Linked DNA regions of Notamacropus eugenii. The protein of the gene in region 2 interacts with the protein of the main gene of each other region in a pairwise test. Links are inferred from orthologs where the notes say so. Each region holds a gene or a part of one and is shown on either strand. Other genes may lie near its edges. The genes, in order: C5H1orf216, NUP62, KANSL1 and SSC5D.

What was found.
Region 1: the proteins of NUP62 (region 2) and C5H1orf216 interact in binary tests that used the Homo sapiens proteins (3 or more experiments, as listed by UniProt). The two-hybrid records come from large-scale screens. The link is inferred for Notamacropus eugenii from reciprocal best matches to the Homo sapiens genes NUP62 and C1orf216.
Region 3: the proteins of NUP62 (region 2) and KANSL1 interact in binary tests that used the Homo sapiens proteins (3 or more experiments, as listed by UniProt). The two-hybrid records come from large-scale screens. The link is inferred for Notamacropus eugenii from reciprocal best matches to the Homo sapiens genes NUP62 and KANSL1.
Region 4: the proteins of NUP62 (region 2) and SSC5D interact in binary tests that used the Homo sapiens proteins (3 or more experiments, as listed by UniProt). The two-hybrid records come from large-scale screens. The link is inferred for Notamacropus eugenii from reciprocal best matches to the Homo sapiens genes NUP62 and SSC5D.

The regions. Positions count from the first base shown.
Region 1 is NC_092876.1:83,994,080-84,002,154, forward strand, and holds the start of C5H1orf216 (UPF0500 protein C1orf216 homolog), read right to left. Parts: upstream 3,320-8,075; 5' UTR 3,212-3,319; intron 1-3,211.
Region 2 is NC_092879.1:31,951,504-31,958,949, forward strand, and holds the start of NUP62 (nuclear pore glycoprotein p62), read left to right. Parts: upstream 1-4,254; 5' UTR 4,255-4,368; coding exon 4,369-4,456; intron 4,457-4,778; exon of another isoform or gene 4,779-4,914; intron 4,915-5,000; coding exon of another isoform or gene 5,001-5,064; coding exon 5,065-5,196; intron 5,197-7,446. UniProt on the Homo sapiens protein: Essential component of the nuclear pore complex. The N-terminal is probably involved in nucleocytoplasmic transport.
Region 3 is NC_092873.1:346,575,735-346,583,706, reverse strand, and holds the start of KANSL1 (KAT8 regulatory NSL complex subunit 1), read right to left. Parts: upstream 3,202-7,972; 5' UTR 3,178-3,201; intron 3,013-3,177; exon of another isoform or gene 2,650-3,012; intron 2,601-2,649; exon of another isoform or gene 2,366-2,600; intron 1,112-2,365; 5' UTR 972-1,111; intron 1-971. UniProt on the Homo sapiens protein: Non-catalytic component of the NSL histone acetyltransferase complex, a multiprotein complex that mediates histone H4 acetylation at 'Lys-5'- and 'Lys-8' (H4K5ac and H4K8ac) at transcription start sites and promotes transcription initiation.
Region 4 is NC_092876.1:18,059,852-18,067,603, reverse strand, and holds the start of SSC5D (soluble scavenger receptor cysteine-rich domain-containing protein SSC5D), read right to left. Parts: upstream 3,343-7,752; 5' UTR 3,120-3,342; coding exon 3,095-3,119; intron 2,363-3,094; exon of another isoform or gene 2,283-2,362; coding exon 2,256-2,282; intron 1,502-2,255; coding exon 1,193-1,501; intron 994-1,192; coding exon 724-993; intron 11-723; coding exon 1-10. Other genes in the region: NAT14 (probable N-acetyltransferase 14), read right to left, coding at 5,237-5,478.

The DNA.
Region 1 (8,075 bases), on a different chromosome or scaffold from region 2:
ATTATTCTCAGCAATGCAATGATCCAAGACAATCCCAAAGGGCTAATGATGAAACATGCTATCTGCCTCCAGAGAAAGAACTGATATTGTTTGAATACAGACTGAAGCATACTATTTTTCACTTTCTTTCTTTTTTTTCTTTTTATTCTAGGCTTCTTGTACAAAATGACTAACATGGAAATGTTTTACATAATTGCATATGTATAACCTATATCTGATTGCTTACCATCTCAAGGAACAGGGAAGGGAGGGAGGAAGGGATAGAATTTGGAACTTAAAACTTTAGAAAAATGTTTAAAATTATTTAACATATAATTGGGGGAATAAGATACATATATTTAAAAAAAGAAATGGTGAGCTGGTTGATTTTAGAAAAAAAAAAACATGGAAAGACTTATATGAAATAATGAAGTGCACAGAACCAAGAGATTATATACGGTAACAGCAATATTGCTTGAAGAATAATTGTGAACAATTAAGTTACTGAGTACTATAAATACTCAGATTAGCTATAAAGGATCTATGAAAAAAGATGGCATCCACCTCCAGTGAAAGAACTGATAAACAGAGGGAAGCATAGTATGGAAATCTGTGTCAAATGGTGGCATTCTCTAGTGCAGGATGCGGAGGAAGATAATTTGGAACTTAAAATGTGAAGGGGGAGGGGGAGGAGGAGGAGGAGAAGAAGAAGAAGAGGAGGAGGAGAAGAAGAAGAGGAGGAGGAGGAGAAGGAAGAGGAGGAGAAGGAGAAGAAGGAGAATGAGAAGAAAAGAAAGAAGAGGAGGAGGAGAAGGAGAAGGAGAGGGAGGGAGGGAAGAAGGGAAGGAAGGACAGAAGAAAGGGAGGAAAATGGAGTTGTCCAGAAGTAGAAAAGCTGCCTGCCTGAGGGAGGGGTAGTTCCTCTCTCTTTGAAGGTCTTCAGACACTTCCCAGAGATCATTTGGCCCATAAGTTAAATGGCGAATTCCTTTTGTGTATGGGTTGGACTATCTGGCTACAGGCATTCCCTACCAACCTTCTGATTTTGTGATTCTATGACTGTATGTTCACAACTGCCAAAATGATATTCCTTTAGTACAGGACTGCTCATCACTCTCCTGTTCAAGAATTTGCAGTGTCTCCCATCTTCCTCTAGGATAAAATACAAATTCCTTTGTTTCTCAAATTCTTCACAATCTGGCTCTGACTGATCTTTCCAGACCTATTGCACATTCTTCTTCTTCATTCACTCTAAGTTCCAGTAGAATACTTGCTTTTCCCTGAACACATTTCCTCTCCTGTCCCCATATCTTTGCACAAGCTGTCTCTCAGTCCTGGAATGCTCTTGTTCCTCACTGCTGCTTCTTGAAATTCCCAGATCCCTTCAAGGTTCAATTCAAGAGCTACCTTGTTTAGAAGGCATTTCTGGATACCTCCAGTTTCTACTCCTCCCCCAACCCTGTGTCCTTTTTAATAATGCATTCTATATTTTCTTCTTGATGAATATATTTTGTATACTATGTATCCTTGATTTACTTATCAGTACACATTTTTATATCTTGACTTATTGGTGTGCATTTTTGACAAATATTTCTTCTTATTGGTGTGCATGAGTCCCTCTTCTCTGCTCCCACCTCCTACCCTCAAAGCCTTTGATGCCAAAACCTATCTCATTTTTGTATTTGCATTTCCAGAGTTTGGCACAATGCCTAGCACATAATATGTGCTTAATAAATACTTGTTAGTTGATTGACAGATTGACTGATTATCAGATAGATTGGGACACTGAGGTATTGAGCAGAAAGGCCCTGAATAGCTGAGTTGACTCCTCCTGGCTTCCACATTAGGAGGTCCTTTCTATCCCTGTCTTCTGTTGCTATGGTGCCCATTATACCTAGCTCTGTCTGTCCTCTCTCTCCTCTGCTCTGATCAGCCATTACCCTCCCTGTGAATACTTTCAATGGGCAGAGATTAGAACAAATGTATTTGTCCAAGTGTAGGCTTGAACTCACAGAGAAGGTGTCATCATCAACTATATACATTTTGTGTATTGGCAAACCAAGGCTTACAGAAGATAAGAAATTATCCTGCCAGGCAGCCTAACAAGGCGGGGGCAGTGATCAGAGGACGACAGGGGGAAGGATAAAGAAAGGCGAATGGTCATCACAAGGTGTAGGGAGGGAGGATGGGATAAAATATTGTTTATGGAGCTGTGTTTTAATGGTCTTCAAATCACCAGGTATGGTGGCTATGAGGTATATGTACGTACAGTATGCATTTGGGGCTGCGTATATGTATATGTACGTACAGTATGCATTTGGGGCTGCATATATGTATATGTACGTACAGTATGCATTTGGGGCTGCGTATATGTATATGTACGTACAGTATGCATTTGGGGCTGTATATATGTATATGTATGTACAGTATGCATTTGGGGTTGCGTATATGTATATGTACGTCGCGTATATGTGGTTTATGCATGCCCATGCATGCAGGTTGTGTACATGTGTGTGTTGCATATTATATGTATACATACATTTTTCTGTATGTACCTGGGTAGTGTAGCTGTGTGCCCATGTATGTACAGCGTAAAGCATGTGTAATATGTATGTATGGTACCTGTGTGCAGGTTCAACTGATGAGAGATATGGAAATGAGTGCTAATCAGTCATTTGGTATTCACTAAGGACAAAAACTAGCCTGGCAGGACTGGCAATTCCTTAGGCCCTGCCCCCAGAGGGTCTCTGGCACACAGGTCCACCTCCAAGACCTTGCGCAGAAGCCAGGCCCAGAGTGGTGGAGGATCCTGAGGCTGGTAGGGAGGGGAGAGAATTGTGAGGAGAGCAGGGCTCTAGGGTCAGTCAGCGCCCTCACATACACCCCATCCTTGTGGAGTACAGGCAAAGCCGGAGCATCCTTAACCCCATCCTCATTTTCCTGTTCCCCTCTTCTTCCCCATGGGCCTCCCGCAAGCCCCGCCTCCACTCCCCATTCCCAGCCACTGCTCTGGCGGGGGTGGGGGATGCTGCAGGAGACGCTCCTCCTTCCTCTTCACCCTTACCCACCCCCCCACCCCCACTCCCCACCCACAGCCCTGGGAGGCCAGAGATGAGTCTCTCCCCTAACATGGGCCACTGCGGTGTCCCCCCCGCGCCCTTTATAGAGCCCCAGCCCCCGGAGTTTCTCCCCTCAAAACAAAACGACCACCCTGCCCACAGCCCAGACTCACAGCCCAGAGGTGCCCAGGCCCACCCGACTCGGGCTTCAGCTCCTCTCCGGCTCCAGCCGCAGGAAAGCGTCACTGAGTCACTGGCCTGGCAAGGAGTGCGGAAAAGGGAGGGGCGGAGCCCCGGCTGCAGCGGAGGCTGCACACACACACACACACACACACACACACACACACACACACACACTCCCAGACACACAGGAAAACGCAGAGACACACACTCGGGAATACATACAGGCACACTCAGAGGCACACACTCAGGCACACGCAGGCACAGATTTGGGCAAGACAGGCACGCACAAATTCAGGCACACTAAGACACAAACATACGCACAGAACACACTTGCTGGGAGAGGTAGGGGACATGAGAGGGGAAGTAAAGCCATCCTCCCACAAAGGAAAGATTCTTGGGAGAAGGATACAGACAGCAAAAAATCCTTTTTTTTTTGCCAAGCAAGGAGAGGTTCACACACACACACACACACACACACACACACATATCTGTATACTCCTATGTACAGACCCATGAATAAATTCTTTTCTGTGTTTTAGGAGCATAATACTGAAAGCTTCTGTGCGGAGCAGATGATCTGTAAGCACCCTTCCACTTCTAGAAACGCTATGACCTTTACAGTGGAAATGACAGAATGATGTATGCTGGCAATTCAGGCAAGTACACTTAACATGTACTCATGTCTGTGTACTCATTTGCAGATATGTCCAGGAACAAGCTTACATGTGTAGGTATGCCTGTACATGTACTCCATGTAAGTAGGTATGTAAATGTTCTTGTGCAGGTTCTCATTCTCTCTAATTTATTTTTTGTCAATTTACCATGGAAGTTGTTCCATACCTTCTCTTTTCTCCTTATGTCACATAGTACCCTCTCCTCCCATCTTCTCAGCAGAGCGCCTTACCTCGTACCTTACCTGAAAAAATTGAGGCCATTACTTAGAGCTCTCTTTTCTTTCTCTTTTCATCCCATATTTTCATCCTTTACTATCTCCTTTAGTCCATTCACTGAAATAGTCCTCCCCATTGCCAAGGCTAACCCCTCTGTAACCTCTTGATTCCATCCCATCTCTCCCATTTTTTTCCTTCACATTGCCTCTACTATCATCCCTTCTCTTTCATGATTGATCTCTTCCTATGTCCTAGTTCCTTTCCTATTTCCTACAAACATTCAAATCCTCCCCCATCCTTAAAAAACGACAACCCCACCATCCCTGAAACTATTGTCCTGTATCTTTAATCTCTATATCTTTAATCTTTAAACTCTTCGAAAATAATGCATATACATGGAACTACCGTTCTCCTTTCATTCTACTTTTTATGTTAATTTTTATTTTACTTCTTTTCAATTAGTAAATATTTATTCTCTCTCCCTTCTGCCTTCTCCCTCCCCACCCTTAAAGAAAAAGAAAACCCTTGTAACAAATACCGATAATGAAGCAAAACAAATTCCTGCATTGGCCGTGTCCAAAAACACATGTCTCATTCTGCATCTTGAGTCCATCGTCTCCCAGGAGTTGGGTAGCTTGATTCATAATAAGTCCTTTGGAATTGTAAGTGGTCATTGAGTTTCTCAGAATTCTTAAGACTTTCAAAGCTAATTGTTTTTACAATTTTTAAATTATAGACATTGTTCTCCTATTTCTGCACCAGTTCATACAAGTCTTCCCAGGTTTCTCCGAAATCCTCTTTCTTTATTTCTTGCAAAATAATATTCCATTGCATCCAGATACCATAATTTGTTTTTCCATTCCCTAAATGACGAGCACCCACTTAGTTTCTAATTCTTTGCCACTACAAAAAAAGAGCTTCTATAAATAGTTCTGTATGTATGAGTCCTTTTCCTCTTTCTGAGGAGGAGTATAGTTGGGTCAAAGGCTATGCACAGTTCAATGATGTTTTGAACATAATTCCATATTACTTTTCAGAATCAATCAACACTGAAATCCATGCTCGAGCTGAACTGCCAAGCATTCAGACTATGCTTCAGAGAACACAACTCCGATGGTCTGGCCACGTCGTTCAAATGCAAAATGTATGCTTGCCAAAAAAGGCTAGTTTATGGAGAACTCACATGGGGCAAGTGATCACATGGTGGTCAGAAGAAGAGATGCAAGGACACTCTCAAGGTCTCTCTCAATAACTTTGGACTTGATTGTGCGACATGGGAGACACTGACACGGGACTGCTCAGCATGATGTGCCCACATCAGAAAGGGTGCTGTGATGTATGAGCAAAGCAGAATTGAGATAGCACAAAGTAAACATAGGATGCACAAATTTGGAGTATCCATCCCAAATACTCACATGGACTATCTATATTCAATCTGGAGCAGAACATTCTGAGCTCATATTGGTCTGATCAGCCACAGGCAGACACACTGAAACTTCACTTTATCATGGTGATGTCATTTTGGTCCTCTTCGAAAGCAACAGAGAACAACCAATTGTTGCTCTTTTACCCAGGAACCCTGAGGGTCTTCTCCTCCCAGTTTGATTTTTTTTTTTAATTAAAGGGGCCATCCCTTGAACATGTGCTTAAAGAAGTCTATTCATTGAATGAGTGTATCTCACTCAAAGTGAGAATGCTATAAGACCTTAGTCTGAAAGGGCCAGGGTCTCCCATTGCATCCTGGATCATCTCCAACTGTCCTGATGAATATCAGGTAACTGGATCCAGATGGCATGGGAGAAGAAAGTGAGGTTGGTGACCTTGCACAGCCCTCCCTCACTCAAATCAAAGTCAACTGCAAATCATATCATTATCTTGATGTCATGGTCCTCTTTGAGAGTGAAGGACGAACACACATTTTTTTCCCCCAAAGCCTCTGCAAACCTCATCATTCAATTGAAATCTATTTCTACAAAGTAATTTCTTCTTCTTCTCCTCCACTCCTCCTCCTCCTCCTCCTCATCTTCCTCCTCCTCCTCCTCCTCATCTTCCTCCTCCTCTTCCTTCTCTTTTTGGTGAGACAATCAGGGTTTAATGACTTGCCCACAGTCACACAGCTAGTAAGTATCGGAAGCTGAATTTGAACTCAGGTCCTCCTGACTTCAGGGCCAGGATACACTGAGTTGCCTACCTGCCCTATGACCACTTCTTAATGACCAAATCTAATGATATCTTCTCATTATTCCTCCTCCTTAACCTATCTACATTTTACACTGTCAACCACTCATTCTCTAGGTTACTTTCTGAGTTTTCATGCTATTGCTCTTTTCTGGTTCTCCTCCTACTAGTGTGATCTGTCCTCAGTCTCCTTTGCTGGCATGACATCTATATCACAGCCCTTTAAGTATGGGTGGACCTCAAGGTTCTGTTCCCAGTCCTCTTCTTTATATTCTTTTTTTGGAGATGTCATCAGTGCCCATGGGTTCAATGATCATGTCTTTGTTCATGAATCCAAGATCAATATACCCAGCCCAAGCCTCTTTCTTGAATTTCAGCCTTTCGTCATCAACTGCCCATTGGACATGTAGAAATGAATATTCTTGGGGTATCTCAGACTCAGCATGTGCAAAAACGAATTCGTATTTCCTCCTAAATTCTCTCCTCTACCAAACTTGTGGTAGAATTGTGAACTGATCCAACCATTTTGGAGAGCAATCTGGAATTATGCCTAAAGAGATAAAACGGCATAATCTTTGACCCAGCAATGCTACTATTAAATGGTCTGTTTCCAAAGATGATTAGGGGAAAAGAAGAAGAACCTGTATGTTCTAAAATATTTATAGCAACTCTTTGTGGTGGCTAAGACCCGGATATTGTGGGGATGCCCATCAACTGGGGAATTGCTGAACAAGTTGTGATATATGATGGTGATGGAATATTACTGTTCTATAAGAAATAATAACTTCAATAATCTTAGAAAAACATGGATAGACTTGCATGAAATAATGAAGAGTGAAATAAGTAGAATCAAAAGAATGGTGTATACGGTTACAACAATATTATTTTAAGAACAACTTTGAGTGAATAAGTCATTTTGACTATTAATACCCAAAGTAACTACAAGGGACATTTGAGGGAAAACACTATCTGCATCCAGAGAAAGAACTGATAAATAGAAATATGTATAGAATGTTTTTACACACTCACACACACATAGACACATACATGTTTATGTCTAATGGTAGCCATATCTTGGATGAGGGAGAGGAGAAAAGAAATTCAAATGATAACTTTATTATATATGTATAAATTTATTATTATTATTATTTTATTTGTTTTCATCACTTCCATATATCTTGGATTTTTTTCCCCTTCCTCCCTCCATTTCCCTCTACCTCCGCAGTCCCTCCTTGAGACAGCATACAGTTTTATATAAGTTCTACAATACATTCCTATTAAATACATTTTCACCTTAGTCATGTTGCATGGAAGAATTAAAATGAATGGGAGAAATCATAAAACAAAGCAAAACATAATACAAAAGAAAATGATCTGCTTCATTCTGCAATTGAATTCCATAGTTCTTTCTATGGATGTGGAAGGCACTTTGCTTTAAGAGACCATTGGGAATTATTTAAGTCCTCACATTTTAGTGAAGTACTAAGTCTACCAGAAAAATTCCTCACACACTGTGGTTGTTGCTGTGTACAAAGTTCTCCTGGTTCTGCTCCTTTCACTCAACATCAGTTCATATAAGTCTTTTCAGACCTCTCTGAAGTCTTCCTGTTCATCATTTCTTATAGCACAATAGTATTCCACTGCATTCATATACCATAATTTATTCAGTCATTCCCCAATTGATGAGCATCCCCTTAATTTCCAGTTTTTGGTCACCACAAAGAGAGCTGCTATAAATATTTTTGTACATGTTGGGACCCTTTCCCATTTTTATGATCTCTTGGGG
Region 2 (7,446 bases):
GAGGTGGGTGTGAGGAGAATATTCAGAGGTCAAGTCACTGGCTGGGAAAATGCCCAGAAAAGGGAAAAGAAATAAGACTATTGAAGGCTACTTTCTTGGAGAACAGGCATTTCCTCCCTTCCTCTCTGATGAGGAAGAACAATGCTTACCATCAGGCAAAGACACAGAAATCAAGGCTTCTGTGTCCCAGCCCACCCAATGGGCTCAGGCCATGGAAGAGCTCAAAAAGAATTTTGAAAACCAAGTTAGAGAGGTGGAGGAAAAGCTGGGAAGAGAAATGAGAGACATGAAGTCAAAGCATGAACAGCAGATCAGCTCCCTGTTAAAGGAGACCCAAAAAAATGTTGAAGAAAATAACACCTTGAAAACTAGCCTAACTCAATTGGCAAAAGAGGTTCAAAAAGCCAATGAGGAGAAGAATGCTTTCAAAAGCAGAATTAGCCAAATGGAAAAGGAGATTCAAAAGCTCACTGAAGAAAATAGTTCTTTCAAAATTAGAATGGCACAGATGGAGGCTAATGACTTTATGAGAAAGCAAGATATCACAGAACAAAGAGAGAAGAATGGAAAAATGGAAGATAATGTGAAATATCTCATTGGAAAAACAACTGACCTGGAAAATAGATCCAGGAGAGACAATTTAAAAATTATGGGACTACCTGAAAGCCATGATCAAAAGAAGAGCCTAGACATCATCTTTCATGAAATTATCAAGGAAAACTTCCCTGAGATTCTAGAACCAGAGGGCAAAATAAATATTCAAGGAATCCACAGAACACCGCCTGAAAGAGATCCAAAAAGAGAAACTTCTAGGAACATTGTGGCCAAATTCCAGAGTTCCCAGGTCGAGGAGAAAATATTGCAAGCAGCTAGAAAGAAACAATTCAAGTATTGTGGAAATACAATCAGGATAACACAAGATCTAGCAGCCTCTACATTAAGGGATCGAAGGGCATGGAATAGGATATTCCAGAAGTCAAAGGAATTAGGACTAAAACCAAGAATCACCTACCCAGCAAAACTGAGTATAATACTTCAGGGGAAAAATTGGTCTTTCAATGAAATAGAGGATTTTCAAGCATTCTTGATGAAAAGACCAGAGCTGAAAAGAAAATTTGACTTTCAAACACAAGAATGAAGAGAACCATGAAAAGGTGAACAGCAAAGAGAAGTCATAAGGGACTTACTAAAGTTGAACTGTTTACATTCCTACATGGAAAGACAATATTTGTAACTCTTGAAACATTTCAGTATCTGGGTACTGGGTGGGATCACACACACACACACACATGCACACATACATAGAGACAGAGTGCACAGAGTGAATTGAAGAGGATGGGATCATATCTTAAAAAAAAATGAAATCAAGCAGTGAGAGAGAAATATATTGGGAGGAGAAAAGGAGGAATTGAATGGGGCAAATTATCTCTCATAAAAGAGGCAAGCAAAAGACTCATTAGTGGAGGGATAAAGAGGGGAGGTGAGAGAAAAACATGAAGTCTACTCTCATCACATTCCACTAAAGGAAAGAATAAAATGCACACTCATTTTGGTAGGAAAACCTATCTCACAATACAGGAAAGTGGGGGACAAGGGGACAAGCAGGGTGGGGGGGATGATAGAAGGGAGGGCATGGGGAGGAGAGTGCAATTCGAGGTTGACACTCATGGGGAGGGATAGGATCAAAAGAGAATAGAAGTAATGGGGGACAGGATAGGATGGAGGGCAATATAGTTAGTCCTATACAACACAACTATTATGGAAGTCATTTGCAAAACTACACAGATTTGGCCTATATTGAATTGCTTGCCTTCCAAAGGGAAGGGGTGGAGAGGGAGGGAGGTAAAGAAGTAGGAACTCAAAGTGTTAGGATCAACTGTCGAGTAATGTTCTTGCCATTAGGAAATAAGAAATACAGGTAAAGGGGTATAGAAAGCTATCTGGCCCTACAGGACAAAAGAGAAGACGGAGACAAGGGCAGAGAGGGATGATAGAAGAGAGAGCAGATTGGTCATAGAGGCAATTAGAATGCTTGGTGTTTGGGGGGGGGGGGATAAAAGGGGACAAAATTTGTAACCCAAAATTTTGTGAAAATGAATGTTAAAAGTTAAATAAATAAATTTAATTAAAAAAAAAAGGGATCCCCCCCAAGAAAGGATCCCAGATCCCTTTTAATCTGAATGATTAGGGCAGCTACAAGAGAAGCCCCTTGCTTTTGGTTCCTTGGGATTTATTCCTCTTGGCCAGCCCTAGAAATCAAGACAAATCAGCCCTAGAAATCAAGACAAATCAGCCCCTGCTAATGACTAATGACTTCTAGTGGGAGTTGTAGTCCATAGACTCTGTCAGTCAGGCTTACTCAGCCTATCCTTCAATTAATCATCCTCAGCTAGTATTATCCTGCTAGTCTTCTGTTTCTCCTACAAGAGCAATTCACAGGACACTCAAGAGCTAATGGCATAGGTCACCAGTGGACGGGCCCAGATCTGGTGTCATTTGTCTCAGGACAGTGCTGATGACAGTGAGCAGACACAATGGTCAGCTTTCACCCAAGTGGGCAAGATCAGTCCTCACCTTGGTGAAATTTTGGGCTCCCCAAAGCATGGAAATACTAGTGTACACATCAAGATATCCACTCCAACCACTAGCCAGTCCTGGGAAAGTCCAGAATTGTTTTTGCTTAAGTTAGCTAGTAGTCACAGGGCAGCCCCAGAGCAAATGAAAAGCATGAACGGTGTGGGGGCAGGCTGAGCAGGGCAGACAACTACTTCTTTACCCCAGAGGGTGATATTGCTGTGACCAGTTACTTTCATTCTCTTATACTTTTAGAGTTTTAAACATCACAATTGGGTGATGGGGTGGGAGAGTGTGAAAAAGGAGACTGGCCTGGCCTGTGTTTATTGTACATAGCACATAGTGGAGGTCCAAGACATGGCTTTTCAGGGCCTCTTCATTTTACATATGCATATATGTTTTGCATGACTACCCATATATAACCTATATGGACTTGCTTGCCTTCTCAAAGAGGAGGGCTGGGGAGGCAGGAAGGGAGAGAAATTGAAATTAAAGTTTTAAAAACAAATGTTAAAAAATTGCTGTTCACATGTAACTGGGGAAAAATTAGATACTAAAATACAAAAAAAAAATCAAACACCAAAGCTCATTATATATTAACTTATTTTATCCTTCCAACAACCTTGCAAGACTGTCACTATTATCCTCATTTTACAGAGGAGGAAACTGAGGCTGTAAAAAGTTAAGTGACTTGCCCAGGGTGGTACAGCTAATGAGTGTCAGAGGCTGAATTAGAATAACTCATCTTCCTAACTTTCAGTCTAGGACTCCAGTCACTGAGAAGTTATAGTAGCCTCAGATATTGTCTGAAGCCCTGGGTTCTGCCCAAGAAAGGGGGACTCTATCCCAAAGGGGTGACTGCTCCCCAGGGAGCTGCTTAAGACAACCTCGCTCTCTGCCCTGCCCCGCCCCACGGGTCCACTAGGACCACTTCAAACTTTACGCAGCCCCCAAATGGACAAGTGGAATCTCCCTTGCTTTGCCCCTCCCCCAGGAGGCTGAGGGGGACTGCTCAACATGCCCCGCCCCCATAGGTTAATTGGTACCGCCCCCCTCGTGGTCCCTCTACACAGGGCACCTCCATAATATCCCCTCACTAAATGGCTGTTTGGGACACCCCATCATGTCTCCCCACAGGATTAAATAGTACTGCCCCCCATCGTGCCCCGCTTCCACTAAGCTGCAGAGCTCTCCTCCGACATGCCCCGCCCCCACAAACTATTTGGACCGCCCCCATTCGGCCCCGCCCCCATGTTATCGATACCGCCCCTATTGTACCCTTTCCCCCGAGGGCTGTTGGGAGACCCCCTATTTTGTGCCTCCACAGGTTAAATGTTACTGCCCCCGTTATGTCCCGCCCCCACAAGGCTGCTGGGATGGCTCCCATTTTGTCCCCACACTGGAGTAAATGGTATCGCCCCCGTTATGTCCCGCCCCCAAAAGGCTGCTGGGACTGCTCCCATAGGTTATTGAGGACCCCCACCACCGTGTTCCGCTCCTATAGGATAATTAGGACCACCTCCATCGGCCCGTGCCCCCCCCCCGCTCCCGCAAGGTTATTGGGACCGCCTCCATTGCACCCCTTCTCTAAAGGGCAGTTGAGCTGTCCCTATTATGCCCCATCAGGGTGGAGACCGCTTCTACTTTCCCCTCCCCCACGAGATAGCTCGTTCCCGCCTCATTGTGACTCCGCCCCCCTAGAGGGTTGCTGGGACCGCCTTCCTCCCAGCCCCGCCCCAGAAAAATCTCCTCAGCATCTCAGCGCCACGGCACCTGGGCAAACGACGCCTCAAGATGTTCCGCTGGCCTTTCAAGGGCCCAAACACCCCTACATCCCCAATGTCAGGCCCCGGCGACTCACATCAGAGGGGGAACCCGTTCCGTAAGTACAGCGGTACCGGGTAACCTTCATCACATTTTTCACTAGCACAGAATCGGGAGGTGGGAGGGCAGGCTCACGCGGGCTCCCTTCCCCCCCTTTTTTTCTTTTCTTTTCTTTTTTTCTCTTTTCTTTTTCTTTTTTTTACCTCGATCTCGAGGGTTTTTGTGGCGACAGCCTCAGCCCAGCCGGCTAACTCGTCGTCGCCATGCCCCCTCAGCCCCCCCTCAGCCGTTTCTCAGACTGCCAGCCCGCGCCTAGCCCAAAGGCCCTGACCGTTACCACTTTTCGGACCGTAAGAAATAGGGGGACGGATCGCCATTACCTGCCACGTGCGGTCTGTGTGAATGTCTTCCTCAGCTTTTTTCTGGAGGTTCCCTCCTTTAAGTCGGTTAGTGAGACTCGGTGGAAATTCTAATTTGTCCTCAAGCAAAAAAGAAGTCCGAGAGCTCAGCTTCTTTCTGTTGTCATGGCAACTACTGGCCTCTTTTCTCCCTCGTACCCGCTAACTTTTTGCACCAATTAGAAGAGCCTACCCTCTAGAGCGATGCAAGAAGCAGCCCATAGGACGTCCGGACCAATGGGAAACCTTCCCCCCTCCACCCCTCCAGTTCGCTGCCTCTGCTACAGGCAGCACCGCTTCCCTCCTAACCGACGCAAGACGCTGGCACGCTGTTGCGCAGGCGCACCTGGTTTGAACTTCACTTCCGGGCCGGGAGCGGGAGCGGCAGCCATTGTGGTGAGTTCGTATCGGCTTGGGGTTCTTTTACCTTTACTTTTCTGTTATTTTCCAACGGGAGTTGACAGATTTCCTTTCCCTGTACCTGGGTACTTCTGCCCACGCCCGAAGGCTGCATTAACTGCAAACAAAGCATTCTGGTTGTGAGCCGAAAGGCCGGGCACAGGGACCTTAGCGGAGCACCTGGGGGCTGCTTTTGTCGCCACCCGGCTTCTCTTTCTCCACGTGTCTGAGTCTCCTTCCTCAGTACAAGGAGTGGCGGGGGTCCTGCTTAGGAGGCGCCCTCTCTGACCCCTTTTTGTATCTTTGGACGAAAAAGACCAGCTCGTGGAGATAAAGTGTAGCCCTGCAGCACGCTGTCACTAAAGCAAAGTCTCACGAGCCTAAAGTTCCAAGTTTCCCGCCTTTTTATACTTCACTATGGCAGCTCTGTCCTTTCGCCTCTGAAATATCTTTGCTTGTTCTGTGCTTTTGGTACTTGGGGACTATTTTCTGATAAATACATAGAGAAATAGCGTTGACTTTCATTTTCTTGCGTGTCTGCGATTTGCTGAGGTGATTTTTTTTGCATTGTGTTTGTCAGTGACTTATCAGTAATAGTTGCTATTTAGAGTTTGCCTAAGTTTCGCACTGGAGTTCCTTAACCCATGTGGCAATCAATATTTAATACCTTTTATGAGTGTATATAGTAAGATCAACATGTATATTTTATTTGTAGACCAGCTGAGTTTCTTTTCTGCTGCCCACGCTGCCTACTTTTTCTCGTGTTAAGTGCCTTCCTTAATGGGGAAAGGGAAAGTCATCAGCATTTAAGGTTTTACCTTAGTAGTCTGGTACAGTGCTAAGAAGCTGAACCTCTCCGGAGTAATTCAGCCTTCATCAACCATAATAAAAAGTTTGCTGGAGCAGGAGGCCATTGAAGCTATTGGGGAAAATAGAAATTTTTTTTTTCTCAAAATTTCTTCTATGAGCTATTATCATAGAGAGGAAGTTTGGCATAGTGGATAGAAAGCTGGCTTCGCAGCTAGGGAGACCTGAGTTGAAATTCTTCCTCTGACACTTACTGGATGTATGACCTAACTTCTCAGCCCTCGGAGCTCTCTTGCTCTTAAGTTCTATAGAGCCCTGGGAGTTCCCGGCTCAAAATTCTTATCATAATAATAGTAAAATGTCTAAAGTTCTAATACAGTAAATATTCATAGATATACCCCAGGTAAATAAAAGCTCTTTGGGTGAGTCTTCAATAATTTTTAAGAGTTGTAAAGAGGCCCTGAGACCCTTTCGTTTGAGATTCGCTTCTCCAAGCAGTTTCTCTAGGACTCTTTAAGTTACAAAGAATGTGCCCACCAGCCATTTGTAGAGGGAGTTTACTCACCGAGTTCCCCAGTAATAGTGAAATCACGGGTTACAACCCCATCCCTACCTATTACCTTGCATAATCTGCTCTTTGTTTCTGTAAATTGGTGAAGCTTGCAGAGAGTAATATATAAATAAAATCTGAATTAGCACTCCGCAACTCTTCTATTCTTCTGACTGACCAAAAATTATAGTACCTGGGCTAGTGAACTCACTATTTTGTGTAGTGCCATCCATCAGATGTGCGTCTCACACACTGAAGGATGATAACTCACATGTACATGGTACTTTAAGGTTTACAAAGCATTGTCCTTCCAATCCTATGAGGCTGTTGTTTATGGCTAACCCCACTTTACAGATGAGGAAGCTGACCATGGTCAGCTAGTAAGTGTGAGAACCATGTATTGGAACTTGGTTAATTTGACTCCTAGTCTTACACTCTTTCCACTATGCTTGCCTCTCATGATATTTGTGGATTCAAAATAACTGGATATGATTACATGATTGCCACTTTTTATCAGAAGACATAATATGTATTTCCCAGAAACAACCTGGCCAGTTTGCTCTGGTGAGACAGTCTTAAAGAAGAAAACAGGTGCCCCGCTCAAACCAAGCTACAGAACGGCACAGACCTTATTGAAAACACCCTGTGGATGCATTAGACTTACACAACTACATAAAATATGTTCCCTTTGGTGGTGTATCATTTGACATATAGCTGCAACTAACAGACCAGGTGTGAGTGGCCAAAAAGTATCTCTGATTTCAATGAACTTTGGTTCTAGATGCTATACCAGCTTGTCAGTTGTTGATTACTGTGTGACTGAGACCTGACATTGGTGCTGTTGCCTAGAGGATCTAGAAATGTATGTGTCTTTTTCCAAGATTATGGTACTTG
Region 3 (7,972 bases), on a different chromosome or scaffold from region 2:
TGGCTGGCTCACCACATGTAGGCTTCTTGAGGGCAGGGCAGGGTGCATTTCATTTTTATCTTTTTATCCCTGGCACCTAGCCCAGCATCTGGTACAAAGTAAGCACTTAAAAATGATTGTTAATTGACTGATTCCCCATTTTAAGTACCTTACATCACTGAATGGCACATATGGATCTTATTTAGTTAGCCCTTCTGGTAGGCATTGAGAAAAAAAAGAGATTGATAGCCTCCCTACTGAGAGCCAGCATACATATATCAGTTTGTTTCTTTATATCAAAGTGAGGGTCAGGCACGCTGATGGCAGCTTTATCACCAGACTTTTATCTCCATTGTTGGGATGGAGTTAAACCAATGACATGTGACTTGGCACAGGATTCCATCTGTACAGCGTTGGGGCATGAAAGCTTTTGTAAAGGACAAAGGAAGAAGGACATCCATAATGACCATTCCTCAGCCAAGCCATACTCAACTCTCTAACAAGGTTATTTCTCCAAAGACCAAAATGGCAACAGAATTTTAACATACTGTAGAAAATTACTGAAAAAACAAGTGGTCCATGACTCTTTTGAGGTCTCTAAGCTACTGATTTTCAACAGTAGTATGAACACTTGTACATATGATGTAACAACTTGGTCATTAAGTTTAAAGGTAGAACTAATTTTTAAATTTTCTAATCCATTCTACCACATTTAAAAAGCAAAACCTGACTATGTAGCTTCTTATGATTTAAATGAAAGAACTGAACACAGAATAATGGAAAATGGTTCCAAAACTGAATAAATATTTTTAACATCCTTGACAAGGGACAATGCAACTAACAATAAATGGTGCTCTCTTCTAGGAAGAAAATGAACTACCTAATATTAATAAGCAAACAGAAAATACCAAGATTAAAACGTATTAGGTCATTCTCTAATTCAAAAGAACATAAATGCCAAAAGCACACAAACTAAGAAAAAAGACCTTTACCTTAACGGGCATCCAAGTAGCATTCATAGTGTCCAGAATAATGCACACAAGATTAAGAAGTAAAAAGAAAATCTTGGTAACTCCTCTGGATCTAACGAGGACCAGCACTTGTAAAAATCTTTACTTTTCAAAAAGGATAGCTGAAACAGAAGATTTTTAAATTAAATACAAATCAACATTATCTGCAAACCCAATAATTTTTAAAAATTAAATCAGTTAAATTTCTTATTTCCTCAAACAGCCATTCATCTCATCAATTTGTTAAAGTACTAATACTCTGCAAGCCCCCTGTGTACATATGTATATACATTATATATGTTTATATTTGTACAAATGAGGATATATGTGATGAAAACAATTCTGGATTTAGAATTTGAAAATCCTGAATTCAAATTTTGACTTTTTAAAACTTCTACTTGTGACCCTGGCCAATAAAGTCACTTAACTTCCCTGGGCCTGTTTTCTCATCTATCAACTGAAGAGAGTTGGTTATCTCAGGAATTTTAACCTGGGATCTACAAACCACCAAGGCATACATGGATAGATATGAGAAGTATATATGAACTCTGATGGGGAAAAAATGTTTTTATTCTCACTAACCTCTAACTGAAATTTAGCATTTCCCTAAATCACTAATATTTTAAAAAATTATTCTAAGAAAGAGTAACAGACTGCCAAATGGGTCCATGACAAAAATAGATTAAGAATCTCTGGGCTAGCTAAATGGTCTCTACAATTCCTTTCTAGCCCAAGCATATACAGAGAGAAGGGGAAGGGGGCAAGTGATGAATCAGAATTCATTATCTGGTAGAGGACTTAAAGTTCATAATTTAGAAACAGAGTTTTTATGTATAAAGACAGTCACAATACTCTTAGGCCCTATGTACTCCAAGTATTTGAAAAATCGGCTGTTTATATTTTTGAATTGTAGATATGCCCTTAATATTTCTAAACAGTCTGAGTAAAATCACCAAACTAACTAGAAAGGGACTTAGTACCTCAATAACAATAAACATCTTTTGATCCTTTTAAACAGTACCCTTTACTTAGTTGATAAAAAATGAAGTTCCAGGATCGATTCTATTTCCAAAACAAACCTACATCTTTTCTAATCTGAGAATGTTTAAGTGAAAGGTAATTACTCTTCTAGATACTTTTCCAAAACCCAGCTGTAGTCAGTCCAGTGTCTGCAATGGGTTTGATTTTGCCTGGTGGCATGAAATGACCACAAGGTTCCCTCAAGTCCGGGGTCCCTGAGCCCAAGGGAAATTCCAATAGGAGGCTAAGAGCTTACAGGAGTTGGTGAGCCCCTCAAAACAAAACAGAATAGCACCCACTACTTAAATTTTTTTCCTTCATGTGGAAAAATAAGAAAATTAAAGGTTTCCACACACACAAATTGACTGTGGGGGTAGAGTTCTTCTGGCCATGCCTTCGTCATCACACCAGCTCCTGAACTTGGCATCACTTCCCATGGCTTGGGCTCATTTCCTTACAGTTCATGGCACTGAGTGGAGGAGGTGGGTCGGGGGCCAGCTCGCGTCCAGGCCTCCTCCTCCCCCATCAGCATCCCCATCCAGAGGCCTGGGGATGGGGCTGGGGGGGAGGGGGGGCCATGCCCACTCCAGCCCTGCTCTCCCCTCCCCTCTTCCAGGTGGTCCCTGGTCCCACACCTCACCTCCACCTTCTTCCAGCCCTCTGTCGGTTCCTCCCCACTACGAAGCCCATTGTTGCGGGAGGACCCCGGGAGGCCCTGGGCGGGGGGGAGGGGGCTACGGCCGTTGGCCTCGGTTTTCCGGGCCCCCCGCAGCCCGGCTTCGGGCCCCGCGCTCGCCTGGGCTCGGCCTGGCGCCCAGGGCTCCTTCGCCGCTCCCCCCCGCCATCCCTGGGGCCGGGCCGGCGGCCGCGGGGGCCTGGGCTCGGGGGCGGCTGCAGGGGGAGTGGGGCGGCGGGTGTGCAACACGCACTCACACGCACTCACACACGCACGCACACATACACACGCGTCCCCTCTCCCCCCCAGCCCAACCCGCTTCCCAGGCCCGCGCCCCTGCGGCCGCCCACCCCCCGGCTTCCCCCGCCCGCCCGGCTCCCCGGACCCCCCTCCCCTCCCTCGACGGCTGCCCCTTCATCTCGCGGGCCCCCAGACCCCCCGCTCCGCCACGGGCACCAGCGCCAACGGCGGCTCCCCCGGCCCCGGACCTACCTGCACGGCTCAACCTAGCCTAGAAGTGGGGGGCGGGGAGTTGTCCGCCCTCCTCCGTCTCTCATTGGCCTACCGAGGTCAGGGCCGGAGCTTCATTGGCTGCGCCCGAGCGTCCGTCAGGGTGGCGGGGCGTGGCGGAAGGGGGGGCGAGTGATGCTGGTGCCCGGGTTCTCTGGTTCTCTCTGTCTCTCGGAGTCTCTGTCTCTGTCTCTGTCCGTGCATTCGGGAAATGTTTGCTCAGAGAGGCCGGGAGGGGCCCGGAGGTGGGAAGAAGGAGATGGAGGGGTCCTGGCAGGGCTTCCAAGAAGCATCCCCAGTCTGGTCCCCTGATCATGCCCCCTCTTCGTTCCCCAGCACCACGTCTCCCCCTCCCACCCTAACGCCCCCCCCCCCCCCCCCATCTCTTGGTTCTAGAGCCGGGCAGCGACATGATGGAAACTAAAGCAGGGAGACCTTATAAAAGGATGTTGCAACAATTCAGCCATAAATCAGTGGGGGGAGGGGGAGAGGAGAAGGGGGGGGTGGACACTGTGGACGTGGTGAGATGACACTGCAGGGCTAGGTAGCAGAAATGTGGCTATATAGACCTACATGATATAGACAGAGATGCAAGGATACAGGAAGGAGAGGTAGGAGAAAGTGGAAGGATGATGGGGCTACTGGCACTGACAGGAAAACTGGGAAGTGCTCCTCCTCTCCCACGCCCTGCCAAGTCCCTGAGACTCTGCAGTATCTCCCATCTCAATCTTCAGACTGCCACCAGCCTCTTACTAATACCGGGCCTCATGACCACCTGCACCTCCTTCTCTCCCTCCTCCCCCTCCAATCCATCCTTCATACCACCGCCACACATGAATCATTGGTATGGGGGGATTTCTATACCCCAAACTCTCCAATGGCACCTATTGACTATGAAATAATATTCAAAACCCTCAGCTTTGTATCTGAGGGTCTCCACAATCTGACACCCACCCCCTACCTTTGAAGCTTTATCTTATACTACTCCACTCCATATGCCCTAAGCTCCAGACAAACTAAACTAGTTAACTCTAATACAACTTCCACATCTATGTTCATGCTCGCTATACATGGAGTGCCCTCTCACTGCCCCCAAAAGAAATCTTACCTATGGCTAAAAGTTCAGTTCAAATACCTCCACCAGGAGACCTTTCCTTATTGCCCCATCCCTAGGATTCCCGCTCCAACCTTACATAGCACATTATACTTTTTACATGCTTGCCACCTTTTCCATCCTCATTTGTTTCCTGGGAGGATCCCCTGTGGCAAACTTTTGGGAACAGATAGACAAGAGCTGCCCAGGGCAGATAAGCATGCTGAGGCTGTGATCAGCATCACTGGAAGGAACTCCCAAATGGATGTACAAATCCATTTGAGTATGGTTAATTGTCTATGTACCATATCCACCTGCTAAAAAGTAGGCTCCATTAGGGTAGGGAACACACCTAAATGGTGTATTTTTACAGTGCCTGATATTTCAGGGAATATTGGTTGAATTGTTATTGAAGCCAAGTCGACTTGGGAGTAAGAAAAGAAACAGGGAACTCAGAAAAGTAAGTTGTAAAAGAAACAGAAAATTGAATTAGAAGGGAGGAGATTTGGTTTGTGTTGGTTTGCTACAAATTAGTTGTGCAACTTTCTTCTTGGGACATCTCTGAACCTAAAGAATTGAAGTAGGAGATAGGAGACCTGAGTTCAGTCCTAGTCCTATGATATCTCCATGTGACCTTGGTCAGGTCACACATCTGGTGACTCTGTTTCCTCAAATGCAATGTTAAAGGGTTGAACTAGATCAGCCCTTTCAGGGTCATGGTATTGTATAAGCTTTTTTTTTAACCTACTCAATTTCAAGTGTCAATGGAAAAGATAAGTAAAGAACTCCTAACTCCAATACTTACTAGCAATATGGCTATGGTCAAGTCAAAGGATCATCATGACCCTCCACTTTCTCATCTGTGAGTATAATTATGTTTGTACTGTGTACCTTGATGAGATGTTGATAGAAAATCTCAAAGTACCACATAAATGTAATTTGTATGTAATGGAATAGTATTATACAGTTTTTGAAAATTGATGAAAATAAGGAATTCAAAGAAAAATGGAAAGATCTATATGCAATGATGCAGAATGAAATAAGCAGAGCAGAGCAATATACAAAATGACAAAAATGTAAATAAAAACATTAAAAGGATGCGAAACTCTGTAGTAAAAATAACCATTCTTGGTATTAGAAACAGATTATAACATATGCCTTCTTCTCCTTACTAGGGAGGCAGGTGACTACAAGGACAGAATGTAACTTATTTTGTCAGGGCATATACAAAAATGACTGATACAAAATAAAAGGTATTTATAATAAGTCTCATTTAAAAAATAATTAACAAAGTGGGTTGTTATAATTTAGAGTTATGGGAAACAGGATTTAGAGCTAGAAGGAAATAGAGATCATTTGTTCTAAGCCAGTCATTTTACAGAACACAAATGCTGGGGTTTTTTTGGAATACTGGAGATAAATTTTTGGCTGAGCAGAGAGGAAATACTCATTGCTGGACTGCACAAGTGCCTCTCCTATGAAGAAACTTCAGTCAATCAATAAATATTTATTAAGCATATGCACTGTTCAAGGGTTAGGGATACAAATTTTAAAAGGAACTTACAATCTAATGAGAAATACAACATACAAAAGAAGATGAAAACAACTTATAAAAGGAGTTCATAGCTCCACCCTCTAATCAAAGGGACAATGGGTGGTGATGAGATAGAGAAGCCAGACTGATGGGATCTTGCAAGATGATGAAGTTTTCCCATTGATGAGCTTCCTGGGTTATGGTGGAAAAGTCAGAGACCCTCCAAAGTCCTGCAGCCAGGAGAGAAATGCCAAAAGAGTTGTACTGAGTTATCCTTCCTATTAAGGAGAAGTTTTAGAATTCATGGCTCCACCTTCCATTCAGAGGAACAGAGGCTGGTGGTGATTTTAGACGGATGACATAGATGTAATCCTGATAAATGGGACCTTTTTTTGTCTTTCTTTGCATCCTTCACTTCCCCCTTCCACTTCCCCCCACCCCCACATTTAGCATAGCACCTAGCACACAGCAAGTACTTAAATTCTTTTTGACTGATAGCTAGAAATAGCACCATGGTGACTCAGTTCTTAAAGAGTTGATACCAGTGAAGTATAAAATATGACACCAAGCTATAGAATTGGGTTTCAAGTATGGTCCCAATTTTAGACTATATATCTATTGTTGACAAATAAGCCTAGCTAAAGTTGCTCATATATGAAAGGAGAGGGTTTGGAATAGACGATCTCTAGGTCTCTTCCACTTCTGACATTATATGTTGTATGATTTTACGATCACAAACTTGATTGTAAGGTGATGAAATTTTCAACCACAAGTAGTCTAAAAGACCCCCCACTAAGTTATAGGCAAGTTATGATCTGATATTGTATAGATGTTATTTGTTTCAATTATTTTTTGTTGACTGAGATTCCCAAATACAGAGAATTTTTGCCTTGTCTTTGCTTACATTGTCATATGAGGATAAAGATTGTTTAGTCTGAAAATGAAAAGATATGAGGGAGACATGATAACTATCCCCTACTACGTGGAAGGGATTAAATTGTTCTATTTAGCCCCCAAGAGGCAAAATCAGTAGTAATGGGTAGAAAAGATCAATTTAGACTTGATATTGGAAAAAATTTCCAAGCAATTAGAGCTGTGCCAATATGAAATAGTCTACTTTGAGAGGAAGGCTCTTCAAGTAGAGGGTGGATGATAGAGAATGATAATAGTTAGCATTTACGTAGAGCTTTAAAGTTTGCAAGGCACTTTACGTGTGTTATCTCATGTCATCTGAATGACACCACTTGTCAGATATGTTTCTATGGAGATGTCTTTAGTATATGAGTTGGATTAGATGCTTATGAGTAAGGGTTTGTTCAACAGAGAGAATACCCACACTGATGAATTTAGAGGTCTTCAAAGTGTGGGTATATTATATTTGCTATTTATTATTAATTTATATTTATTTTCATTGCTATATATTATTTTATCATTATTGATGATGGCATATTGATGATAAAGACAAGAACATACCCCAATGATAGTTTCCTTCTCACATTTTATGTAATTAGAATTCAATTATATGCCATGGAGAACAATGAGAGAAAGTTACTATATTTAACAAAATAGTCATCTCAGCATTCTTTGTGGTAGCAAGAATTTCAAAATAAATCAATTGAGCAATGACCAAATAAATTGTAGCTTATGAATGTAATGGAATATTATTGTGCTATAAGAAACATTGAATATTAGGAATTCAGAGAAATATGGGATGACATTAATTGATGGAGAATAATATAAGCATAACTTAGGAGAAGAATATCAATAACGTAAAAGAAAATAGTATTACTAAGCAGTCACAATGACTTCAAAATGTAAATAACACTAAAAAGCAGTCAATAGCTGATAAATTAGGATAAGCAATTTTAGTGCTAGAGAACTGATTTCTTCCTCCCACTAGAGAGGTATGGAAAATGGATGTGGAACAAGTTATACGTTATCAGATGTTGTTACTCTGTTAGTAGGTTTAAATGTTTTTCTTTGTCCCAAGGAGAGTTCAGTGAAGGTGGAGAAAGTTAAGGGTAAATGTGGTGTTTAAAAACATAAAGGAAACAATAAAACTTTAACAATAAAAGTTCAAATGCAACATTTATTTCAATTCCATTTTAGTCCTCCCCAGGGAGAAAAAAAGTATCAGCAGTTCATTTGAA
Region 4 (7,752 bases), on a different chromosome or scaffold from region 2:
CGCAGATACTCTGCAGAGGAGGGACTCAGTGAGCCAGGCCTTCATCTAAGCCCTCCAGGTGCCTGGGTCCCTGAGGGATTGGGGGCCAAGAGGCAGAGGCTTGGATCCCTGAGGAGAATGGAAGCTGGGGGCTGGTAAGCCTGGGTGGGCCATATGTTCTGGGGAGCTCCACTCCTGGGTGTCAAGGGCCAGAGGGCTTCACCTGACTATGCAGAGGACACCTGAGTCCCTGAGGACAGTAGGGAATGAGGAGGCAGATCTCCAGATCCCTAAGACAGGCAGAGGGTGGGCAAGGAACAGGTGCCTGGATACCTGAGTCTCTGAGTGGGGTGGGGGTGACCATGAAAATAGCAGGTCATGTAGGTAGCCTTTTGGGGGCTGTACAGTGGGTACAGAATCAGCTGACATCAAATGAGGCAGGAACCAGAGAGATGGACATGTGGGTCCTGGGGGCGGGGGAGGGGCTAGGGAGTTGGACATGTGGGTCCTGGGGGGAGGGGCAAGGGGATTTGGACGCGTAGGCCCCAGGGAGTTGGGGCAGGCAGAATGAAGGGAGATAAGAAGTAAAGGTATCCCCCCACTGACCTCATGAACATTCCTAATAGTACCCAGATGTAGTTTTGGCTGCGGACTTGGGGGGGAACTAAACTGGAAATGAAAAGGTGGAGGGGGGTGAGGGGAGTTGGCTCTATCTTAGAGGGACATGTGGGGGTGGTCACTCACCCTGTCGGAAAGCACTGGAAGTCAGCAGAGGGGCCCGGGTGGCCTTGGGCAGCTTGGGAGGCCGAGGGGCCTTCTGGGGGCTGCTTGTCGGGTTCCCAGCTAGGGGAAGGGTGAATGAGGGAAGGGGAGGGGAGATGTAAGCGTCAGGCTCTGCAGATTCTGCAGGGGGAGATCTTGGGGCCTCACCTGGGGATGTTGGGGAGCTCTCAGACCACAGCTCCCGGTCCAGGGGCTCTGTTGAATCCGACCTTGAGTTGGTTGCCCGCTGACCTGTAGGGAGTGGGCAGATTTGGAAGAGCTTAGTGGTGTTTAGTGGGGAGGGCCCTGGGAGTTCCAGTGCCAGGCTTCCTAAAACATAGTGTTAGGTACTTTGGGGTCCCATGCCAGAGTTCTTGGATACTTCCATCTTGGAGAGGGTGAGGATTAGGAAAGAGCAGGACCCTGGAGGGCCGGGGACTGGAGCTCTTACCTACACAGACGAGGCCAGCGTCCTCCTCGTGGGAGCAGATGTGGGCCTTCCAGCCTCGGTGACGACAGAGGCCCAGCCGGCTCTCAGACCCACGACAAGCCAGCTCACTCAGCCAGACTGGCCCGATCCCCTCTCCAAAGAAAGCTCCTGCTGGGGCGGCCAGGGCTCCTCCACAGCCCAGCTCCCTGCAGGCCACAGCAGCATCCCGCAGGTCCCAGCCGTCGTCACACACCGTTCCCCAGCGCCCCCCGTGGCGCACCTCCAGCCGCCCGGCACAGCCATGGGGGCCCCCAGCCAGGCGAAGCCGCTCTGCCGAGGGGGGTCCAGTGAGGAGGGACCCTCATCTAGCCCAGCAGTATCCCTAGGCTTTTGAGGGGGCCTGGGGGCACTAAATACTTGAGCTGCTGAAGAGGCAGATAGGAGTCCTGGAAATCTTTATCCCTAAGGAACCAGGGGCTGGCATGCCAGTCCCCATGGATGCCTGAGGAGAGTTGAGGTTTAGAGAGCAGACACCTGAGATCCTGAGAAAAGCTAGGTCAGTGAGGGGAGCAGGGCCTGGGAGACCCAAAGGCTGAGTCACTGAGGGTTTGAGTTCAAGGTTAGAGAACTGAGCCGGGCTAGGAAGCTGGATGCCTGAGTCCCTGTCCAAAGAATGGGTTGGAGGTCCTGGGGTGCTGAGAGGGTCTGAGTCCCTGGGATGAGTAGGGCTGGAGAAGCACACGTTTGCTGGGTGGCTGGACACTTGGGTCCCTGTTGGGGAGGGGGCCCAGGGATCCCACACTCCTAGGTTTATGATGGGCAGGGTAGAGACTCGGGGCTTCTGAGGGAGTGGCTGTGTACTGGGGAGGGGGAAGGCTGGGTTCCCATGAACAAAGAATGAAGAGCCTAATGTTTGGAGCCCTGTGGTCTAGCCCACAGTATCCTTGATGCCTGTATCCCCAAGACAACCAGTGAGGGAAGGGGAGAATCCAGTGAGCTCCAAAGCTAAAGCCCAGAGGTGGAGTTGGGTGGTGACAAAGGGCATGACAGGGAAGGAGGAGAAGGGGACTCAGAAAAGACTCACCCACAGCCTGAATCCCCATCAGAACAGCTGGAAGAGAGATGAGGGCGATAAGGTGAAGGTGGGGAGTCCTTGCCCCTGTCACCGCCTCAGAGGAGACACTCAGGGATCTGGGTTAGGTATGAAGCTGTGTAGGGCCTTGACAGGGTCGAGCATTCACAAAGCAGTGGGGAGAGGGTCTGGATTCCAGGTTTCTGAATGGGGATGCCTGGATCTCTGAACCCAGTGGGAAGGACCTGAGGAAATGGAGCCCCAGTCCCTGGGAGAACAGTTCAGAAAGAGGAAGGGACCTTCAACCTGGCTTCCAGGAGAGCCTAGATGTTTGGACCCTTGATGGGGATGAGACCTGGACACCACAGGGAACAAAGGTCAGTGACGGTGGAGGCTGCAGCTGACTGGGCTCTTGAGAAGGGAATAGGGAACAGGGAACCCTATTTCTGGATCTTAGAAGACAATGGGGGACAAGATGCCATCTGGACCTCTCTTGGAGGAGGGTGGCAGACTGCTGGATCCTTTTGAAAGTAATGAAAACTAAATGTTTAGGATTGTGGAGAGTAGCCAGAAGAGCAAAGTGTATGCTGGGGGCTGGGACTCCTGGGTCCCTGAAGGGGAGAAGCAAGGACTCCCAGATGTCCAGGAGGCAGGGGCTGGGGACCAGGACTCTTGGGTCTCTGAAGGGGAGAAGCGAGGACTTCCAGATGTCTAGGAGGCAGGGGCTGGGGGTCAGGACCTCTGGGTCCCTGAATGGGAGAAGTAAGGACTCCCAGATGCCCAGAAGGAGCTAGGGTCAGTAGGAGGCAGGGGTTGGGAGCAGGGACCTCTGGGTCTCTGCGGTCACTCACCAAGGAGGTAGGCCAAGACCCTCATCTCTGCAGAGCCAGCCCCTAGGACCCAGGCTGGGGGGGCTGGGGGACGGGGGGGAGCAGACGAGGTCGAGGAGGCGGAGGCAGTAAAAGCTGAGGGGAAGTGCCGGCAGCGCCCTGGACTGAGGAGGGGCGGGCAGGCGGGCGGGGGCTGGGGACACGCCGGCACCAGGAAGGGAAGAGAACAGTGGAGGAGGCAGCGGGGGACCAGGAGGGGGCTGAGGAGGCGTGGGGGAATGGGGGGGGGGGGATTGGCTGGCCCCAGACACTTCGGGCGCTGGGCCGGGAGACCTGCCAAAAGGGGCTGGAGCAGCCTCTGGCCCTGGAGCTCTGCCTCAGTGGACCTCCCTCTTCCCTCGGGTCCTTCCCTCTGGGTGTCTCCCACTCCTGCCTATCTCTCCAGGTCTCTGCTCCTGTCCCACCCTCACTGTTTACCACAGCAGCCCCTCTGCTCTGCCCTACCCCACCATCCATGCCACTAGGGGAGAGGGTCAGTTGATGTCCAGATAATGGTCCAAACCACAGGGTTCAGCCTCCAACCAACAGTCACTTGTTGAGACAAGAAAGAACTGCAGGGCTGGAGGGTAAATGGCCAGACCCAAGCTGCAGGTCCCTGTCCGAAGGCGGGGGAAGGCCAGGCTGCCCTGAGATAGCCCCAGGATCGAAGGGGCGGGGAGAGAGAGTGGCTTGGTGGGGCCCAGGCTGGAGGGGGAGGAAGGGGAGTGGGGCGGGGGCAGATACTTGGCCCCCAAGCTCAGCAGGCAGATGTGGGGTGGAAAAAATGTGCTAATGGGGAGCGTGAGTCATCAAGGTTGGCAGGGGATGGGCCCTGCAGCCTGAGCTCATCTCAGCCTGCCTGGGGCCTGGGTCTGGGGTCTGGGGCCTGGAGCACCAGTGGCTCAGAACTCCCTCCCTCCCCGAATATTAATGTGGCTCCAGGGCCAGACAGGCCTGGAAAAGGGGGCTGGAGGACCTGGAAAAGGCATCACAGCAGAAGGGAGGCAGGCAGTGGGTGGGAGTTTCAGTTTATTAACAATGGGGATAAAAACAGATGTGAGGGGAAAGGAGGAATGGGAGGGGAGAGAGAGACCCAAGGCAGAGACGAAGGGTCATCTCAAGGTGTGGGGGAGCCAGGGGGTCACTCTGTGGGTCCTCAAAGCAGAGGGGAGTCATCCTGGTAGCCAACTGATGGAGAAGGGAGTCCAACCCCACGGGACGGTCCCCAGAAAAGGGGAAGATCACTGATGGCGCTTGGTAAAGGATCCTGGGCAGGGTGCTCTGGGAAGAGGGAAGTCTTGCTCAGAGGGGTCCAGTGAGGCTAAAGGTTAACTGAGGGGGGCGAGAGCAGGAGATCCTGTGTTTGCAGGGGCCTTCAGTGAGTCTGAGGGAGGGATGTCTGAGAAGGAACTTCTGGGAGGAAATGGGATGAGAACCTTGGGAGATCTTGGCAGGGCACAGAACCACAGAATAGTTGGGGTCGGAGGACAGAGCTACCCAAAGGCAGTTGGAGGCTGACTGCCTGAGGACCCCCACAGTGGACAGGGGAGATATGGGGGGTCATCAGAGAGTCACTGGTATAAAAAGGAGCAGCCAGAGGATGGGCCAAGGGTGATCCCCCACATTTAATCCTGTGAGGTGGGCAGTGCAAGTATCCTTTCCCCCAGTCCTTAGGGGGTGATGGAGACCCAGAGGGAAGGACTAGGCCAGGGTCATGGACTAGGCCAGAACCAGAGCTGAGACTTGAAAGCATACAGGTGTCCCGGATGGCTCCATCCTCCCTGAGCCAAGGCCAGGTTGCGGAGAGGACACAGTGGGCATTAGAATTCTTTCGTAAACTCCCTCACAAATATGTGTCCCATCCAGCCCCAGCCCCCCTCAGGATGGTAGCCCCTTCCTTCCAGGAGGGCAGCGGCTCCTCGGGCTCCTACTGGAGCAGGAACTATGAGCTTTGCTCTAGGGCCCCCTGCCTGGCGGGCCCATGCCTGGGCTCGGGCCTCAGCGAAGGCCAGCAGCTTCGTGGCCACACCACGTCGACGGTGCCAGCGGGCCACGGCCAGGCGAGCTACGGACAGGCTGCTTCCACTGGTCCCGGGCCTCAGGGCCAGGACCCCGCACACGTCATCAGTTCCCCACACTGCCACCCAGGGGCCTCCTAGGCCAGAGTCTGAGGGGAGTGAACCCCATCGCATCCGCACCATCAGCTTGAGAGCAGCCACAGCCAGGGCGACGGGCAGAAGCAGGGCCAGGGCGAAGGAAGCCAGGACAAAGCGGAGGCCACTGCTGGCAGCGGCCAGGAGCAGAAGGGCAGGGGGCCGAGTCAGGGCATGGAGGGCCACGCGGTTCTCTGTGTCTTTCACCCCATCCTGAGGATAAAGGGGCACAAGTCAGGGGTACAGAGAGAGATGGCACTCACTGGTGGGGATCCTGGTGGGGAGGGGCTGATGGGAGAAGGCTAATGAAGACTGGGAAGGGGCACAGGCCAGGGCTGGTGAGGATGCCCTCTGAAGGATCCGCTGGGGACAGGGCTGGTGGGAATATTCAGGGCGCAGATCAGCCAGTCATCAGGTTTTAATGAAGCACTTACTATGTGCTAGACTTCAGGCTAAGCCCTGGGGAGATTTCTGGAAGGGAGGGCTTTGGGAGGGACCCATAGTAGGAAGCCAAGGTGGGAGGGAGAGAAAAATCTGCCTTTGGTTCATTGAAAATAAGTTATGTAAAAATAGTGATGGGGAGTTCCTGGTGAACTTGGGGGGTGGGGCTGGGTAAGAGCCAAATTTGGGGGGTGGGGCGGAGATCATGGTAGGTATCTCAAGGGAGGCAGAAAGGTGGGGAAAGGCCAATGGGAAGCTAGAGGTGGATGAGGTTGTGGAGGGAGCCTGAGAAGGGGTGGGGTGGGCCCCCGAGGAGAGACCTGAGGAAGGAGCAGTGAGCAGCCTGGTGGAAACACTGGGGGCCCTGGGGGGAGGGGATAGCTGGAATGCTAAGGAGAAGAGCTTTTGGGGGGAAAAGAGGCCTAGGTCCAGGCCAGTGGGACTGAGAAGGAGAGGTTCCTTTTTCCTCCTTAGGTCTGCAGGAAACGGCTTTCTTCATTCTCCTCCCGGCTCAGTCTCCTCTGCCAAATTAACTGTCCCATCCCAGGATCTCTCTATGGCCTTCCATACCTCATGGCTCCCTCCGGGCCCCCCCTTTCCCTAGCTCTCTCGGCCTCCTCGTCAGCTCCCAAGGGTGCAACAATCATCCCTACACCAGAGACCCCGAGTCCTCAGGCTAACCTCAGTGTCTTTCCTGATTGTCAGGCCTGGATGGTTGACTCTGTCCATCCCATGGGCATCGAGTCTGACATGTCTAAAGCATAACTCATCTTTCCTGCTCTATGACCTCACTCGGGGATCTCTTCTGCTCCCATGGATTCAATGGCCAGCTAGAGATGCCTGGGATTTCCAGATCTATGTATCCAGCCTGAAGCTCTCTGCTCCCATCTCCAACCCCCTCACAGAAACCTCGACTGTAAAGGTCAGACATCTTTACTCCACAAGCCCCCACAGAGCTCATCATCTTCTCTCCCCAGCCTTTCCCCTACTACCTTCCCTATTACTGTGGAGAACATCATTATCCTCTCGGGCCCTCAGGCTTAAAAGCTAGGTGACATCTAGGATTCCGTACTACTTATCACCCCCATATCCAAGTCCTGGCCAAGGTCTGTCCATTTCACCTCCTCTGCATCTCCCCAATCCACTCCCTTCTCTCCTCTGACCCTGCCCCACCCTGGTGCAGGCCCTCACCCCCTCATGCCTGGACTGTGGCAACAGCTGCTGGGAGGTCTGCCTGCCTCTGTCTCTCCCTAAACTCCACAGTCCATCCTCTCTTCCATCACTAAAGGGATTTTCCTGAAGTGCAGGTCTCATCATGTTACCTCTCCTCCTTAATAAACTCCAGTGGCTCCCTATTGCTTTCAGCATCAAGTGGAAAATGCTATTTAATTTTTAGAGCCCCACCTCCACCTTTCCAGGCTTCTTACACCTTGTTCTTCTCTATGTAGAGGCAGCAAAGGTGGCTGGGTAAGGCACTGGGCTTGGAGTCAGAAAGACCTGCGTTCAAATCCAGCTTCAGATAATCATTAGCTGGGAGGCCCTATTTGCCTCAGTTTCCTCACCTGTAAAATAAGACTAATATCTTTGATTCCTAATAAGGATCAAATGAGATAATATTTGTCAAGTACTCAACTCCACACCATACAGAGGCCCATCCCTGTCCCTTCTGTGTGATTGTGTTTCAGACAGGCCAGCTCCCCTCTCTGGTCATTGTTACTGGCTGTCTCCCAGGCCTAGAGCTCTCTCCCCGCTTCCTGGCTGCTTCCTGGCTTCCTTCACATCTCAGCTGAAGCCTGACTTTCCCCATCATCCTCCACCTTGGGCCTTCCCTCTGGGATTACCTCCAGTCTCCTGTTGGTACCTCCTTGTTTGCATCAAATGGTGAGCTCTTAGGACAGGGAATGGGGTTTTTCTTTCCTTGTATACCTTGTATACAAGCCTGGCAACATGTAGCAGCTTAATAAAAGCATGCTTACTTGATGACTTTTCCCACAAATTTATCCCTTTTCCAAACGGGCACCACCATCCCCCTGGGACATCCCCCGC